Xenopus tropicalis: one gene and its partners. The protein of the gene in region 1 interacts with the protein of each later gene in a pairwise test. Links are inferred from orthologs where the notes say so. Each region holds a gene or a part of one and is shown in the gene's direction. Other genes may lie near its edges.

Region 1 (3,953 bases):
ACTGTAGGCACCTTAGTGCTCCATCCCAAAACTCATTTGCCCATTAACCAAAAATGTCTTAACATCCCAGCCGCTATCACTTCTTATTCCTGCTTTGGGTAGGATCATTTACTGTTTTTGTTTCACTATACACAGTGAAAGTTAACAGTGTCATCAGGGCCAGCCTTAGATAAATGTATTTAACCCATGCTAGGGTTGCCACCTCAAGCTTTATAAATAAAGGGACACCATGGGGAAGGGGCTGAGGAGGGGAAAGACTGATTTTACATTAGCAGAGCTCGGTGACAGGAGGGGGAGCAGCAGTTTCCACTTGTTGCCTTATTGGACCTAAATCCTTTTAACTCCATGTGTAAAGCACTGCAGGTCCCAACAGAATGACTGACATTGGGTCCTGCCATTGCTAAGGGTTGCCTTTTCTCTCATTCTGTCTCCCTATAGTGCTTATTTAATTATTTCCATCCCTTTAGTAGTTAAATCTGTATTTATATTTAGATGGAAAAGTTCTATATCAGGTTGGGTGGTTTCTGGCCATGAAGGTGATCCCCAGGTGTTGGTCAAACATCAAGCAGCGTACCTCCCATTTGGTGATACAATAGAGTCATCAGATGGGACAACAGAACAACAGTTTATTCAAAGCAAGAATATCCCAACAGCACTCCTAAATGGTGAATAAAGAGTGATTTTTACAGGCTTGTTTTGTGGCACAAATAAAAATCACTCTTTATGAGGGCTGTTGGAATTTTCTTGCTTTGCAGAGTCATCCTGTGGGGTGTTTGCACCCTAGGCATGACCCTATTCCCTGTTGGGAAGTTGCTGCTTAGGGTTACTATAACACATAACTAGAGGGGTGTAACTACATTGGAAGCAGTCCCTGCTGGGGGGGGAAATGACTGATAAGCAGTTATATGTATATATTCATAAAGTTTTGGTAGAGGGGTTAAACTGATTTTGCTGTGGGTGCCAGTGACTCCCAATGATCCCAGTGATGGGAGCTGTACATGTGGGTGGGAGAGGGGCGGCTGTGGCTTTAGGCGGAACCGGCACCTCTGCAGTTCTGAAAAGCTGATCTGCTCTGTCCTTGGTGCTGAGCGCTGAAGAACTAGTGGCACCGCGCATGCGCAGCGCACTCCCCGCACCATATAAGAAGGCGCTGCGCTGCGCTCTCCCCAGCCGGCACCATGAGCTCCTACAGTTACGACCCGTATTACACTTCCTACAAGCGCCGGGTGGTGGAGAGCAGCCCCAGGGTGCACATCAGGAGCAGCTATGTCTCTCCCAGCAGAACCACTTACTCCCCGGTGGTTTCCAGCACTATGCGCCGGAGTTACGCCGCCTCTTCTTCTTCCTCCTCTTCCCTCCTGCACGGCGTGGACACCATGGACCTGTCGCAGGTAGCGGCGATCAGCAGCGACTTGAAAATCGTGCGAACCCAGGAGAAGGCGCAGCTGCAGGACCTGAACGATCGCTTCGCCAACTTTATCGAGCGCGTCCACGAACTGGAGCAGCGCAACAAGGTGTTGGAGGCAGAGCTGCTCCTATTGCGCCAAAAACACAACGAACCCTCCAGGCTGCGGGATCTGTACGAGCAGGAGGTACGGGAGCTGCGTCTGGCGCAGGAGGAGGCTACGGGGGACCGGCAGACTATGCGCAACGAGCGCGAACGTTTAGAGGATGCGCTGCGCCTGCTGCAGGGGCGCTATGAGGAAGAAGCGCTGAGCCGGGAAGACGCGGAGGCCAGGCTGTTGGATGTGAGGAAAGAAGCCGACATGGCAGCCCTAGCCCGGGTAGAACTGGAGAAGCGCATGGATAGCCTTCTAGACGAAATCGCTTTCCTGAAGAAAGTACATGAGGAAGAACTGGCGCAGCTTCAGTCGCAGGTGCAATACGCTCAGATCTCCCTAGAAGTCGAAGTGGCTAAGCCCGATCTCAGCTCTGCCCTGCGGGATATAAGGGCCCAGTACGAGAAGCTGGCAGCCAAGAACATGCAGTCCGCGGAGGACTGGTTCAAGTCGCGATTCACTGTCCTGACGCAAAGCGCAGCCCGCAACACGGACGCAGTCAGAGCCGCCAAGGATGAGGTGTCCGAGAGTCGCAGGATGCTCAGCGCCAAGGGTCTGGAGATAGAGGCTTGTAGGGGGGTGAACGACGCTCTAGAGAGGCAAATCCAGGAACTGGAGGAAAAGCAGAGCGGGGAAATCGCAGGGATGCAGGTACTGGGGTGTCTGTGCTGCTGGGGTGGGGATGGGGGGTTAGTAATATTGGTAGGAGCGAACAATGTCTTAACCGTTAACATTAATTCAGCAGGATAAATGGACATGGGAATAGCATAGAATCAGCCCCATAGATTGGCACTGGGCTAACGTTATAAAGGTTATATTGTAGGCTGAGGGTGTATCTGTCTCCACAGACAGGGATACATTCAGTGACACTGGGGGGGTACAAACATCAGGAACTTAGAAAAATCAATGTTTGCCACTGTTCAGTATTAAACAGGGACCCAAATGTCTACAGATGTATGGGGCCCCCAGTAGAAAAATGGGGTTCTGGTAGTCTGCAGCCACCCCACTTTTTTTTTAAAAAAAAAAGACAACCCACCTTTCCTGAATATAATTATAACTCCCAGGATGCATTCCACCCATGCTAGAAGTTGTAGATAAAAGCTGCAGTGTAGACATATCCGATATAAAAATGTTAGTTACTTCTTGCCTTATTGGCCACACTATTCCATCCTTGCATGAGGTTTCTTTATGTATCCTATACCCCACAAACATTAGCTCCCGGAGTGGGTGCAGTGCATAGACGGATGGACCCCCCCTACAAGATAGTGCTGCCAGTCTGCAGCCATCCAGCTATATATACAGTCCCAAGTCCCCTGTACACTGATGCAGAGCTTTGTTTTTTCTGTTGAGAGTTTCTAGAAGCAACTATGGAGTTGGAGTTACATACCAGCTTTGTAGGTTCTGCTGCTGCTGTACATTTTATTAGCTACAAGGAATTATTTAGCTTGCAGTGTCCCACACCCCTTTACACATATACTGAATCCACATCCTGCACTGGTTTCTTTGCAGCACTGCAGTAATGTATTTACATTAATTGCTAATTGGTCATTCAGCATGAAATACTTCACTTTTCTGATTCTAAAGGGTTAAGGTGCCCATCGTACCTGCCCATTGCTTCAAGTGAGTGCATTAAATGAGACCCCATACTTGTAAGTTTCTAAAGGTAACATCTGCTAAAGCTGCATGGAGATATTGCTATGTGCAGTGTAGCCTCCAGTCTACAGTATTTGATATATATCTTGTACGTGAGGTTGGTATCTTAAATAAGCTGAAGAATGGCATTCTCTTTTCTGTAGGATGCTATAAACAAATTAGAGGAAGAGCTGAGGAACACCAAGAGTGAAATGGCGAGGTATCTGAAGGAATATCAAGACCTGCTCAATGTGAAGATGGCTTTGGATATAGAAATTGCTGCCTACAGGTACCAGAGCTCAGCCGATGGCATATACACAATTGCTGAATCCTGCATGGCTCTAGGTGGTAGATTTCATCTGACTCTTTTTTTGGAGGACACACCCCCCTTTGTCAGGTTCCTCTAGATAGCAAATTGACTTGGTGGTTGAGAAGTTAAGAAGATAGACCAAGGTGAAGATCTTATCTTTTTGATATTCCAGCCATATTATGGCTGCTGTAGTGTAGAAAATGTGAGAGAACATTTCAGGCAGGGGTTAAATACATAGACTTTGTTCATCCTCTTGTACTTAAGGTGGAAGGAAAGGTAAAAACTAAGTAAGCTTTATCAGAAAGGTCTATATAAATACAGTCATAAGCACTCACAGAAACGCTGCACTGAGTCCTCTATCAAAGGAAACACAGGATTTATTGTCTCTTTTTTTGTAAACATGATGTTCCAGTGTCTGACTTCCTCTCTCAGAAACATCCTTAATTCCTGTG
Region 2 (3,521 bases), on another chromosome or scaffold:
TTTAATGTTTTTTTTTTCACAAACTTGTTAAATATTCCTTTTCAGCTACTATCTCTACATGTATGATAAGGTTGTGGCGCCGAATGTATCCCTCACAGCTACTGTATCACAGTGCAAGGAAGCAAAAATAGGAAGAAAAGAGGTTGCACCCAGCAAACCCTCTGTGGAGCTAGAGAAGCAGGCTAGGAGTGGCAAACATAAATCTGTTACCTCATACCCTGAGCTTTCCATAGAGGAACAAGAGAGGGTGGATTTGAAACCAGACATAAAGACCAGTAATATTAAACGTAAGTAAAATGTGCAAGTTTTCTGGCCTCCTCTTTGATTCACATGTTCTACTGAAAAACAACATCAGCTACTTAAAGAAGTTTAAGCAAAGGAATATTATTATCTTTCGAAGGACACTTTAAATGTGACTAATCGCTTAACTCTAACCCCAGTCTGGGTCTTTTCTACGAAAAATGCACTAGCCAGGGGTAGTATTGAGCAGAGTAGGCCGCCATAATCTTACCCTACTTACCCAGTGATTGCTTGGCTCAGCATAAAAGGTAAGTGAATAGGTAATAGCGTTGCCAACAAAATGGCCGGTGACTCTAACTTTTCTATTCCTTTAAAACAGTGTTGTTTAGGATCAAGTCCCTTTTAGTTGGTTCAGCATTTAGTTAGGGGCCCCATTACCTTATAACACACTGTTGTTGCAAGAATATCTAGAACAGCAAAGAAGTGTTCACTGCAAGGCTTAAATTAGTTGTCCTTCAGGTTGGGTCTGAGGACAGCATTCAGCCTGACTTCCCAGCTGCCCATCCTTGGTAGGTGGGATAAGCTCCACAGTTGGAAACCTTCAACAGGTGGGTCTTCACAGAATATTGGCAGGCTGAAGACACTTTTGAAGGATAAGGAACTGCAAAGTGGTGTATATGGAGATATGGAGATGAAAGCTGAGATGAGGGAAGGGCCTTCAGTATTTTGATTCATAGGGAATCAATGATCTGGATAAATACATGAGTCTGCCCTATACAGTGGTTGTGGTAGCATCATACTCTGGTTTTGATTTTTATTAGCAGGGACTAGCGGTAAATGTGAAAGAAATGTTAGGAAGAGCACCGCACTTGTATGAAAGCAATATTATTAATTATCTGGTATTAATATAGTGCATACACATTTCTGCAGTGCTTTACAGAAATGATGCAATCACCCCAGTGCAATCACCCCAGTGGAGCTCACAATCTATGGTTACTATCACATTCACCCACAATAGTGGCAGTTTCATAAGGAACCAGTTAACCCGCCTGTATGTTTCTGGAGTACTATGGCAGAGCCCTCTTTAACTCTTGTATTGGTTATATTTTTGTGTTTAATCTGAATGTTCAGCATATGCACCCATTTATTGTACAGAGTTGTATAATATCTTGGCGCTTTATAAATACATGTTAGTAAGAATAATGGGACTATTCAGAAAGTCGACTGGAGCACAGTTTTAAAACTACTGCTTTTGGTCATTGGCGCTGCGGGTTGGGGGTGTTAGGTTGCGGGGGGGGGGGGTTTGGTTGTGCAGGGACGATGCTGGGGGAGCCGGGTGAAAATCCAACATGGCGGCCACCACAGAGTGCAAAGAGAGGAATGTTTGAAGGCACATTTTGGGACAAGGGAGGATTATTTTTAAAAAAATAAGTTTGCGATCTGTTACAGGCAAGGGGGCTCTACAATATATTAAGGGCTTTAGTAGAAGCCTTTCCTTGCTCTTTAAGGAGATTAAAGATAAATGTGATGGGAGTTCTTATATTGTCATTTTCAGTTTGAAATAATATTCAGAGAAGCAAAATAGCGTTAAAATGTTTAGCTTTATGCTAATTTTGATTTGCACAGAGGTGACATTTTTGCAGGTTTTTTTTATTAGGTAGTTAAATCAGTTAGAATGCTATATTATCTTATAAGGTATGTTCTCGTATTCTTCTGTTCCCATTTCTTTCTTTATCTTTGGTTTCAGTGATAAGCTTTTTATTTTACAGAGCCCAATACAGTGGATGGGGAAAAGCATGAATCTGCTTGTAATAAGGATATTCTCTGTGTGGATGACAAAAGCCAAATAATGGAAGAAGTTGTAAAAACATTCTTGAAACAGCAAGAGAAACTGAATTACATTCTGCAGAAAAAACAGCAAATTCAAATGGTATGTAAGGTGTCACTTCAAGTTACAGATTTTCTCATGGATACAACCTAAGACATTTGTTTAACACTTAAAATTATTATTGGTAAAAATAATTAATGGGTGTAATCTTTAATAAATGTTTACCCAGATTGGTGAACTTAGGTCAATCAGTGACTTATACATGTGTCATAAAGATTGGGCAGAAAGAATATATACCATACAAGGGTCCCTATGCTTTAGGCTCAGCCTGGTGCAGGTACAATGAGCAGATTTCGACACATAACTACTTGGGTATGCAATTACGCACCAAAATCTGCCGCAGGTACATCAATAGGTATTTTGAAGTGTAGGGGCAGATAAATACAGGACAGGAATCCACCCCATGTAGCAGGAGCCTCATGGCCACCTTTCAGGTTTTCCATTGAAAGCCAAAATGATACCAACATAGGCAGATTTAATGTTCCAACATGTCGTATTAGCAAATTGACAAATATCTATGGATATTAGACAGGATTATCAAGGTAGCATAAAATTAAGAAATAGTTTCATTGTTATTATACCTGTAAGGGCAGTGAAAATCCTACCTTCCCTTAGTTAAGTTTGGAAGTATTTAAACACACCAGATCTATAGAGTAATCCAGACTTTCCTGCTTGGGCTGGTATACCTAACTGTAATTATCACAGTATCTTTTGGGTACTTGTGACATTGCCATGTATATATTTTGTATGCTGTTTATATAGTGCTAACATGTTATGCTGGTGCTTTACAAAGATTGCACATCATTCAGGTGACTTCATCTCCCAGTAGAGCTTTAAAGTCTATGATTCCTATCACATTGACATACAAACTAGGGTCCATTTCATCAGTAAATTTTTAGCCTTGTGATGTGAGCCAAATGAATAACCGTTATTATTTCTGAAATCATCCCTTTGTGCTTTTACAGCATTTGTATTCTGGACTGACTAGAACCCCATAATGCTTGTGTTGGTCTTCCATAAATTTCAAGATTCCATCATAATAAATAAGACTCAGCCGCTCAAAAACATCCTCACCTTTCATATGGGGGCACAAACAAGCTGCTTACTGCTAGACTGCATAACTCATATTTTGATAATACTCCGTAGGGTACATTCCTAACATTGATTGTAGTTGAGTCACAGTGCCCCTACTAAAGGCAGAAGTAGCTCAGTTACTTATACAGTAATAATCTAGGCCAAGGACACAAGAATAACATACTGGTTTTTGCAGGAAGTTGAACTACTAAGCAATTCCAAAACTATGAAGGACCTAACTGTGGAGCAACAGAACTTGCAGAAAGAGTTTGAATCCTTGCAGAATGAGCACATGCAAAAAATGGAGGAATTATATGAT
Region 3 (3,521 bases), on another chromosome or scaffold:
CTGCTGTGACATAACCGGCATCGCAATTCTTACCGCAACTTTATATATATATATATAAAGTCTTTGATAAAGGCTAAAGTACTAGCCGAAACGTTAGTCTCCTCTTTATAATAATAATAAAAAATAATTTGTTTATATAAGTCCTGTGAGTGCTGACCCTCTCTCAAGCACCTTCTATATTTATATAATAATATATAGTTATTTATTTCTTAACTTTGTTGCCACAATAGCATTTTAATTCTAGCCATGTACAAGATCTACCACATGGAGAGGGGAGGAAACCTCCTTCTCTGGGAAGCCACACCCTCTACCAACTTAAAGGAACAGTAACACCAAAAAATGAAAGAGCTTTAAAGTAATAAAAATATAATGCACTGTTGCCCTGCACTGGTAAAACTGGTGTGTTTGCTACAGTAACACTACTATGATTTATATAATAAGCTGCTGTGTAGCCATGGGGGCAGCCATTCAAGCTGGAAAAAAGGCGAAAAGGCACAGGTTACATAGCAGATAACAGATAAGTTCTGTAGAATACAGTAGTGTTTTATCTGTTATCTGCTATGTTCCTGTGCCTTTTCTCATTTGAATGCCTGCCTCCATGGCTACATAGCAGCTTATTTATATAAATTATAGTAGACTTTCTGAAGTAAACACACAACTTTTACCAGTGCAGGGCAGCAGCACATTATATTTTAGTTACTTTTATACACAATTTTTTGGTGTTACTGTTCCTTTAATATTTAGCTTTAATATTTAGCCAGATGCCAGATGCCTCAGCAGCCCTTTAGCCACAATCTTTATTTTGGTGGCCATAAGATCTCTACTGGCAGACACTTAGTGGCTAGGATAAACATAGCATACACCAGGCAGTTCAAAACAACCTATGTGCACATATCCTAAGATGCAAAAATATTAATTAACTACCATAAATGTCCTTTTACATATTAATGCTGTGAAGACAGCATTGCAATTTTCAGGTATTCAACTGAAGCCTTAACTGTTATTATTGTTTACTTAGCATCTTCCCTGTCCCTGTAGACCACAGTCTACAGCTACTGGACATTTGCCATTTAGTTTACTGCCCAGTGCATGTTGTTTTACTTCTCTAACACAGAAACCAGCCAAACCTCTTCGCTTGAATATAGGTCTGTGTGTGACTGTATGGGGATCTCTGACCCTGTGGCATAATAGTTGTTCAAAGTAAAAGATTTTGCATACACCAGGTAATTAGAAACACACATGTTAATACATGCAAACATGCATTGGCGAATCTATAAAATTGTGTGTGCATTGAAGAATGCATTAAATATTTCATTTCTACTCATTTGTTCGTGTTGTCACCTTATCTTGTGAATCCTTTTACTGGGCCCCTAGGTAAGACTATAATACTTTTCTTTTCTTTGTTTTTCTTCGTTTTGCAGTCTTCCAAACACGTACAGGGTCTAGTTGGCCTTCGGAATCTGGGTAATACGGTAAGTCTGTGAGTTTTTGTTTTGTTTTTTGTGCATACCAGCTTCTCGGGATCTCTCTTACATGTGTTTTATTTTACTCCAGTGTTTTATGAACTCCATACTGCAATGTTTAAGCAATACCAAGGACCTACGAGATTACTGTCTGCAGAATTCATATCGTCGAGATCTGAGTTCAAAAAAATGTAATACTGCAATTATGGAAGGTAAGAGATTTTCAAAAATAAACACTGCACACACACAAAGCAAAGAACCAGGCAACTGGCAATATAAAATACTACAGGCACAATATTAAATTTATAGCAAAACATGAACTGACAAAATTCCATAGCAGAATTGGTGATATGCAATATGATATGCATTACTGATTTGATTTTTATTATTCCAGAGTTTGCACGATTGCTCCAGGCAATTTGGACTAGTTCAGCCAATGAAGTAGTGAGCCCTTCTGAGTTCAAAACTCAGATACAGAAATATGCTCCTCGCTTCATGGGATATAAGTAAGCAAACTTAATGTTTTTTTATTTAACACTGTGTCATCTTCCCATCTGTTAAAAACATAGTCAAACTTAAGTGCTAAAACTACAACTACCCTTGGTTTGTGCAGTTTTCTGCTAGCAGGAGCACTGGCCCAGGGTATCAGGTACACTATTCTAATTACTGGGGGGGTCTCATTGGCACCACCAGTGATTTTAACTTTCCTTCTCCTTAAAAGTAGATATGGTTCAGTTTGAGGTGTGACCTTATTTGGGGCATGGGCAGGGATTTTAACTTGGAATATTAACATGCATGAGGGAAATGTTAGTTTTATATTGCATTTAGCTACATAGCCAGGACAAATGCCATTCCCCTTGATAATGTTATTGACTTGATAAAGTTAATGCTCAGTAAACATTTATCTTGGATTTATTAGTTAAGTCTAAACCACCTGCTTATGGGCTTTCATACTTATGTAGTGGAGAAAGTCTAGGTCGGTGGGGCCCAAAAGAATTTTCCCGGTGTCCTGGCAGCCCCAACTGACCCTGGTTTTAACTAAAGCAATGTAAATGGTTCTTCATCGTGAGGGCTGTAAAATCTTCTACCTGGTGATACTGTGATGGGCTTTCAATCATGGGCTACAGTTAGTTTTATGTATGATTCTGGATATCATATTTCACTTTCCTGAGTAAAATTCTTTCATTTCTACTATGTTCCAGTCTACGTTTATATTCCCATATTTTATTCTTCCAAGAGGAACTATATTATATATTAAATTAAAGCCTTTGATTACAGTTTGCTTTTTGTCTGTCCATTTACACAGCCAGCAAGACGCTCAGGAATTTCTACGATTTCTCTTGGATGGTTTACACAATGAAGTCAACAGGGTAACAGTCAAACCCAGACCTTCCAGCCAGGATTTGGACCATATGCCGTGAGTATTGGTTATAAGTCAAGAGAAAGTAGAGAGTACTCAGTGCATGTGCATACTACATTAATTGATGTAAATCAGTGTTTAAGTCAAAGTGTTTCTGACTGCCTGGCTTGATTTTACAGTCGTCTTTTATATTTAAACTGAACACAAGCACTTTTGGTCTCTGCCTTATGACCTTGGTTTGTGCTACTGCCAATTGTATGGGGGAGGACAGGAATGGAATTTGTGGTTGATGTCTCCCTAGAGGAAGGAATACATCTGCATTTAATTAATCTGTAAACCACTGGGGATACTGGAAATTACAACAAAGTAGGCAAATTAGCAATTAATTGCCACAAAAACGCAGTGCTTGGGGCTTAGATTTAGCTTTCTGAACTTTAAACAGTCCAGCCAGGGTGAGATTTGCAGTAGATCCTACTATGTAGAACTCTATGTTTTCTTCTACTAAGATATCTGGATGCTCACTTCACAAGCCTAAATGTTGGATTTGTACAAGTTGGCTGCACATAAGTATTAGCAGATTCCACTGATAGAAACGTATCTACCTATGGAGATGGAACCCAGTTCAGTGGACACACATATTTTCTGGGTCCTATTTCAAAATAGGAAGCCACACTACAGGATAACTGACCAAATCTGCT
Region 4 (3,521 bases), on another chromosome or scaffold:
TCCATGAATGTCCCGCATTTCTGTAATCTATTACGGAAATGCAGGACAGTGATGGAACTATCTGGGACAGCGGGATGCGCTATTAAAACCGGGACAGTTGGGGGTGTGTGCATCTGGGGCATAAGTAAATGACCTGTATAGCCTAAAATACACTGATAAAATTCACCTTTTTTGCCTGCCATTAACTTTACTTACAGCTGCCTGAAACTACTCATACGGAACTATGTAAACCCCAGAATACTCAATTTTTGGGCTAAAATCCATCTGCACATGTGCAGGTGGTTTCTGCTTAGATTCTCAATAGCTGCAAGGACCACACTGAGCATGTGAGTGTCAAAGCAAAATCCAAGAGGGTAAGAATGTGTGACAACTTTGAAGTCCCGGATCATGCTGCTATTGAGATGCTGAATCATTGCTGGTGCAATAAGCTCAGTATATAAAATATGGCATTTCTAGCCATATTCAGTTTTAGGATTTAGTTCTCCTTTAAATTCAGCTGAAGCTGTAACCTTTGCTATGAGTAATATTAAAGGGCACACATGTAATCCAGTTGAAGAATGTTTTTCAGCTTCATCATACTCCTGATTCTTTAGCAACCTCTTAATGATTCTAACTGAGACACTGGCAGTAAAAAGGGAAGAGAGTTTATTATACAAAGATTCAATCAGACCTTGTCTTTATTCATTCATCATTCTCAGTTTAATAACAAAGCTATTGATTTAAAAAAAAATAAAGGAAAACTGGGTCATATTATATGACTTATTGGGCAAGTGTCCTAAGTATAATGTATCTTTCAGGGATAGGGACAGAAAACCAAGCACATTAGCCACAAGATTAATGGTATTTTTAATTTTTAATTGAGGATTTTGTATCTTTACAGTTACACTAACCTCAACAACACCCTCATTTATTTTTTTTAAAAATTAATACACTTTAAAATACTATTTATTCACTTAGTAAAACAGAGGATTACAAAGACTATCCCTAGTGCATGCAACATTACTAGCAGGTGAGATTCTAATCTTTCCAAGCCAACTAATAATAATCAGCTTCCCCTCCTCCAAGTCTATCAAAGGACATGTAAAAATGTAATCAGTGAACGGCCTCATTGAAATCTTTTAATACCTGCCATTCTGGTTGTTCAGGCTGCAGCATCACCTTAGAGGAGAAGGAAAGGGTTAAAATGGCAACCCCATAACTAGAAAGGCCTCATGTGCCCATAGCTGATCGCTACCTTTTTTTTAGCTTTTTAGCCTCTTTATTTCCTGCACTCACCGACTTTAGTAACCGCTATATCGCGCATATTGTGGCCAACATGTTGGATACTGAAATTAGTCTAACATGGCGCCGTGTAAGTAAACGCACCTGCGCAAATCTTCTCCCTCCCCCAAGACGCGAGCACGACCTACTCTCCTCTATGCTAACTGTGCACTGCGCAAACACAGGCACGAGCTTGCTAGCGAGGCGCACTTCTGTTTCTTGTCAATGCGCATGCGCTTACTGAGGAGCTGGTCTTAGTCTTGGTGCAGGAACGATGCATTATGGGAATCCTCTTTACACAGCTCAGCGTTTTTTCTTCCTATTTGGCTTCTGATCATCTAAACAGGCAAAATGTGGGGAGACTTATGGGCATTATTGAGACAATTGAAGGTATGCCTGCAGCTTGAGATTAACTCTTTATTAGCCTTTCCTTCTCCTTTAATTACTTGGATTTCCTTTGGCTGTTGGCTCCTGGGCATGCTCAGTTTTTCTCAGCTCGGATTACTAAACACACCCTCCATTCTAGCAGCCAATGAAAAGATGGCATTGCTGGTTCCCATATAAACTCAGCTCCATCTATCGGCTCCCATTGTTTTCCCCTAACCTCCTCTCCTGAGCTTAGCTTAACTATTACAGTGCTCGAACAAAGTAGACCTTTTATCAAAGACAGTTCCGCCTGTGTGAGCCTGCATCCTTGATGAAATTTATGCTGAATAAGGGTCTGTGTGTGTATGCTGTTTGCAGATTTAAATGTAACTGATAAAAATGTGGGAATGGCCACCAGGTGAAAGCTGATATTTGTTTTAAGAAAATTGTGATGGTGCTGGCAAACAAAGGGGATATATGCAGTACAAATGATACCATTCATTCTACTTTCATTCCCATGGGTTGATGCTATTGTTTTTGAATTGACTACAGGCTGCAATAAGAACATGAGGAAAAGGGATAACTGGGCAAATTCATCTCTTCAAAGATAGGCCTGTGCTTTCTTCTATCTGTAATGTGATCACTTTTTAAAGCTTTTTGATTCCAGGTCTTATTACTGACTTGATGGGGAGACCACTACCATCAGCTGTGAGTGAGATTATTGATCAGCTGTACAAAGAGATAGAATATCTGGGGGAAAATGGAATCCAGTGTTCGAATGCTCAGGTAGGGAACAGACCACTAATCAGCAAATATCTGCAAACGTTATATGGGAATTGTAGAATTCTCTCTTTCTCAATATATATAAGCGCAGGGCTGTCTTTAGGGTTGGAGCAGGAGACAGTCCTGTTAAGGGTCCCAGTCCAGAAAAGAATTGTCTGAATCCTTTTACTTCAAAAGTAGAGGGGGCTTCTTGGACATAACTTTATATGGATGAGATTCTTAGATTTTCCTTCTTTATAGCTTGACCTGTCCTTAAACATAAATCTACAAATGTGGGCTTGAGTAAGGGAATTCAATTTTGTTTACACCAAAACTTTATTTTCATTTTCATATTGTCAGACATATCTGTTAAAACATTTGTTGTAGTATTTTGTTTTACATTCATGTCTTTGCTAAAAACTTTTAGCTTATACCTGTTTTCTTTGGGCCTTGTGAAAGATAGCTTTCACTGCAAGTAGTTTGCCAACATTGTCATTCTTTGTTGGCTCCTGGGTGGTCCATAGTTTTGTTGTTCGATTTCTTGGTTTTGTTGGTTTTGAAAGTACTGGGATGCTTCAATTAGTAATGGATGTTCCCTGAGTGTTTCCATATCATACCATGTGATTTGCCTAAACGGCGGGGGGGGGGGGGGCAATGCACATGCGTGAGTTGGGCGACAAAAGTGGGGTGGCCTCGGGGCACCCTAATGAGAAATCCGGCCCTGCACACACTCACTGCACCTTAGCACAACACTTTATGCTAGTTACAGTTATCACGGCTTACACAATTTCAGTTCATCTTTTAGGTTGACGAATGTGCTATCAATTTGTGGAACTGGGGTGTAACAAAGAGGGCAGAAGACTCCATTACTGAGGATGACAGAGCTAGAGGTAAGAATTGACACCAGGACTGATGTTACTGATGAAAGAAATACATCCTTGCTGATTCACATTTATGTGTATGTTTCCTTTGTGTGTTTGTATAATAGTTTTTATGGCAGCATTATTGCATAATTGTGTTTCTAAAGCTTCTAAAGGAGGCTAAAACTGGTAAGTCCAAGATAAGTGGCAATCAGGATGACAACTAAAGGTTAAAATGTATTTTAAATCTATGATCACAAAGAAAACTTTTCC
Region 5 (2,321 bases), on another chromosome or scaffold:
GACTAAACTGCATCTAAACTGTAATTTACATATTCTAATTTGAGTAAAATTTGGACTAAAATGCCATTTGGGCAAAAATAAGCTCTCTTTTGTTGTGCCCATGCACCCTACAGAAATGTTAAAAACACCAGAAATATATGGCAGCATCATGCTCACAGTAAAGCTACCCTGGGCCAGAGGAGGAGCACTGACCCAGGTTTACTTTCAAACACTTGCTTCGTCATCACAGACATAGAACAGCTCCCCCAGCTTCAGTATGCAGAGTATTAGAGTATTTGCTATCTGAAATGTGTGTTTAACTCCAGGATGGGCAGCTACAAACTAGATGCATATATACAAAGCCAATAATACATTGCTATCCCACAATAAAGGCATTGGGCTACTCTGGCTTTTCCATTGGTTAGCAAGAAAAATGTATGGTGCACTCAGGAAAGTCTTTCTGAAAAGAAATGTCTTGCAAGCTTACAGTACAGGTCACTTCTTTAGGGAAATGTTCATAGAAAATTTCACCTCAAAAACTTTCCATTGGCCATTAAAAGTACGTTTTTTTCTACTCCTAAAATAATAATATAAATCTGTGTATCTGGATTACTTGGTAACATCATCTACAGTGAAAAGGTATATTGACAAGGTGACCCACCAAAAAGTATTTTAGCCCACTTCACATCGCATTACTAAAATAACTGTATATATTTGTACAGGTGCACTTTTTTAACTTTAATAAAAATGTGTGGATTTCCTTGTCTTATAAATATCCAGTTTCAACCATCATAGCTAATTTCGAAAAATGTAATTCATGTCTTCTTAAGCTGAATGGTATATATCAATAAATTCCTACAATGCAGGTTTTTTTTTTATTTATCTAAACAGGAAATAGCTCGCCATTTGCGTCCTAAAACACTTCGTGCTCGCTTTGGAAAAAACAAAATTAAGAATGCTGTTCATTGTACTGACTTACCAGAAGATGCGCCATTAGAGGTGAGATATAGACTAGTCTTAATGTAGAAGATACTCTTATGCCTAGTGTGGCATACTTCCCAAGTTCTGTAGTTTCAAATCAGCAAGGCAACTCCTCAGTTCACCCAGCTGTGTCTGTGTGCAACTCTGCTACACACCCTGTCGAAGAGGCCTTTTTTAGTAGAGTTGCCCCACCTTTAGAAACTAAGAACGGGCAGTTAGAGGATGTGGTTTGGGGCATCTACAGCTATGTGGGTCTACTTCTTGACTTGGCTTTCATCAGCATCAGCTACATTTACTTATTATATTTGAATGTATTTTGCTACCAACTGCTTTTCATGACAATTTTGTAAGAACACCAAACTAATGGTATCTGTATGCAGAACTACTGTTCTTTTCTCAACAAAAATCATGTTACAAACCCCACCCCACCCCACCCCCAATGTAAACCTAAAGCTGCCCATTTCTGTACCCATAAGATGATATGAAATCGAAGTACATACATGGCTAGATGTTCTTTTTCCCTTATTACTTTTCATTTTTTTTTGTGACTGAACTGTAATAATGGATTTTATTTGATTTAAACCTATAACAAGACAATACTTCACTCACAGGTGCAATATTTTTTCAAGATTCTGGATAGCTGAATTGAAAAACAGAAGAATCCAAAACACCAAACTTTGTTTATTGTTTTATTGTCTCATGTTTAACTTGACTGAAGTTCCAACAAGAGCACAGGACTCCTGGCAATTATTACAGATGTATGAACAATGTGTGCACAGTAGACATTTAAATACATCCTATGGGATACTGCATTGCCATGAACGTTGTTTTAAAATAAAGATTTATTTTTCAACAGGTTACTTTGGTTTGTTTCATACATTTTCTTTTTCTTGAAGAAAAATAAAAATTGTACAACTGCATAAATATAAAATTCTTCCACCATGAAAATGGTTAAAACATTTGTAAAGACAAAGCACCAAACTGTGATGCTTTCAGAAAAAACAAAAAAACAAAAACATAAAATAAAAATATTTATATATATATAACTCAAAAACCATTAGCCCTATTTCTGACAAAAAGTGACAGTCGGACCCGGGGCTTCACACACCTTCATAATGGGCTTAAGCATTTAAAGGGGAAAGTTTCTATAAAAAGCATTAAATAAAAAGCACCGCACAACCCATCACCTCTTGCATTTCAGTGAAACTAAGAAGAGAAAGACAAAAACAGAAGCTCTTTTACAGATAAAACAAATCAATGCCTTATTTAAAGGACTTGTGGAGTGCTATTAAATATTATTGGTTGGCCACCACTTCCGTTTAAATTAAAAAAAGAAAAAACAAAACAAGAAAAGTAGCAAT

What was found. The genes of interacting proteins can lie anywhere in the genome.
Region 2: the proteins of nefl (region 1) and skil interact in binary tests that used the Homo sapiens proteins (3 or more experiments, as listed by UniProt). The link is inferred for Xenopus tropicalis from reciprocal best matches to the Homo sapiens genes NEFL and SKIL.
Region 3: the proteins of nefl (region 1) and usp2 interact in binary tests that used the Homo sapiens proteins (3 or more experiments, as listed by UniProt). The two-hybrid records come from large-scale screens. The link is inferred for Xenopus tropicalis from reciprocal best matches to the Homo sapiens genes NEFL and USP2.
Region 4: the proteins of nefl (region 1) and tex11 interact in a two-hybrid assay, tested with the Homo sapiens proteins (2 studies listed by BioGRID and IntAct). The two-hybrid records come from large-scale screens. The link is inferred for Xenopus tropicalis from reciprocal best matches to the Homo sapiens genes NEFL and TEX11.
Region 5: the proteins of nefl (region 1) and nme7 interact in binary tests that used the Homo sapiens proteins (3 or more experiments, as listed by UniProt). The two-hybrid records come from large-scale screens. The link is inferred for Xenopus tropicalis from reciprocal best matches to the Homo sapiens genes NEFL and NME7.

The regions. Positions count from the first base shown.
Region 1 is NC_030679.2:127,657,501-127,661,453, reverse strand, and holds the start of nefl (neurofilament light polypeptide), read left to right. Parts: upstream 1-1,151; 5' UTR 1,152-1,178; coding exon 1,179-2,210; intron 2,211-3,355; coding exon 3,356-3,480; intron 3,481-3,953. UniProt on the Homo sapiens protein: Neurofilaments usually contain three intermediate filament proteins: NEFL, NEFM, and NEFH which are involved in the maintenance of neuronal caliber.
Region 2 is NC_030681.2:111,877,218-111,880,738, reverse strand, and holds part of skil (ski-like protein), read left to right. Parts: intron 1-45; coding exon 46-287; intron 288-2,009; coding exon 2,010-2,170; intron 2,171-3,398; coding exon 3,399-3,521. UniProt on the Homo sapiens protein: May have regulatory role in cell division or differentiation in response to extracellular signals.
Region 3 is NC_030683.2:80,116,565-80,120,085, forward strand, and holds part of usp2 (ubiquitin carboxyl-terminal hydrolase 2), read left to right. Parts: intron 1-1,421; coding exon 1,422-1,472; intron 1,473-1,554; coding exon 1,555-1,675; intron 1,676-1,857; coding exon 1,858-1,969; intron 1,970-2,769; coding exon 2,770-2,880; intron 2,881-3,521. UniProt on the Homo sapiens protein: Hydrolase that deubiquitinates polyubiquitinated target proteins such as MDM2, MDM4 and CCND1. Isoform 1 and isoform 4 possess both ubiquitin-specific peptidase and isopeptidase activities.
Region 4 is NC_030684.2:44,774,647-44,778,167, forward strand, and holds part of tex11 (testis-expressed protein 11), read left to right. Parts: intron 1-2,293; coding exon 2,294-2,412; intron 2,413-3,193; coding exon 3,194-3,278; intron 3,279-3,521. UniProt on the Homo sapiens protein: Regulator of crossing-over during meiosis. Involved in initiation and/or maintenance of chromosome synapsis and formation of crossovers.
Region 5 is NC_030678.2:55,260,276-55,262,596, reverse strand, and holds the end of nme7 (nucleoside diphosphate kinase 7), read left to right. Parts: intron 1-870; coding exon 871-978; intron 979-1,571; coding exon 1,572-1,604; 3' UTR 1,605-1,817; downstream 1,818-2,321. UniProt on the Homo sapiens protein: Possesses an intrinsic kinase activity. Displays 3'-5' exonuclease activity with a preference for single-stranded DNA. Does not seem to have nucleoside diphosphate kinase activity.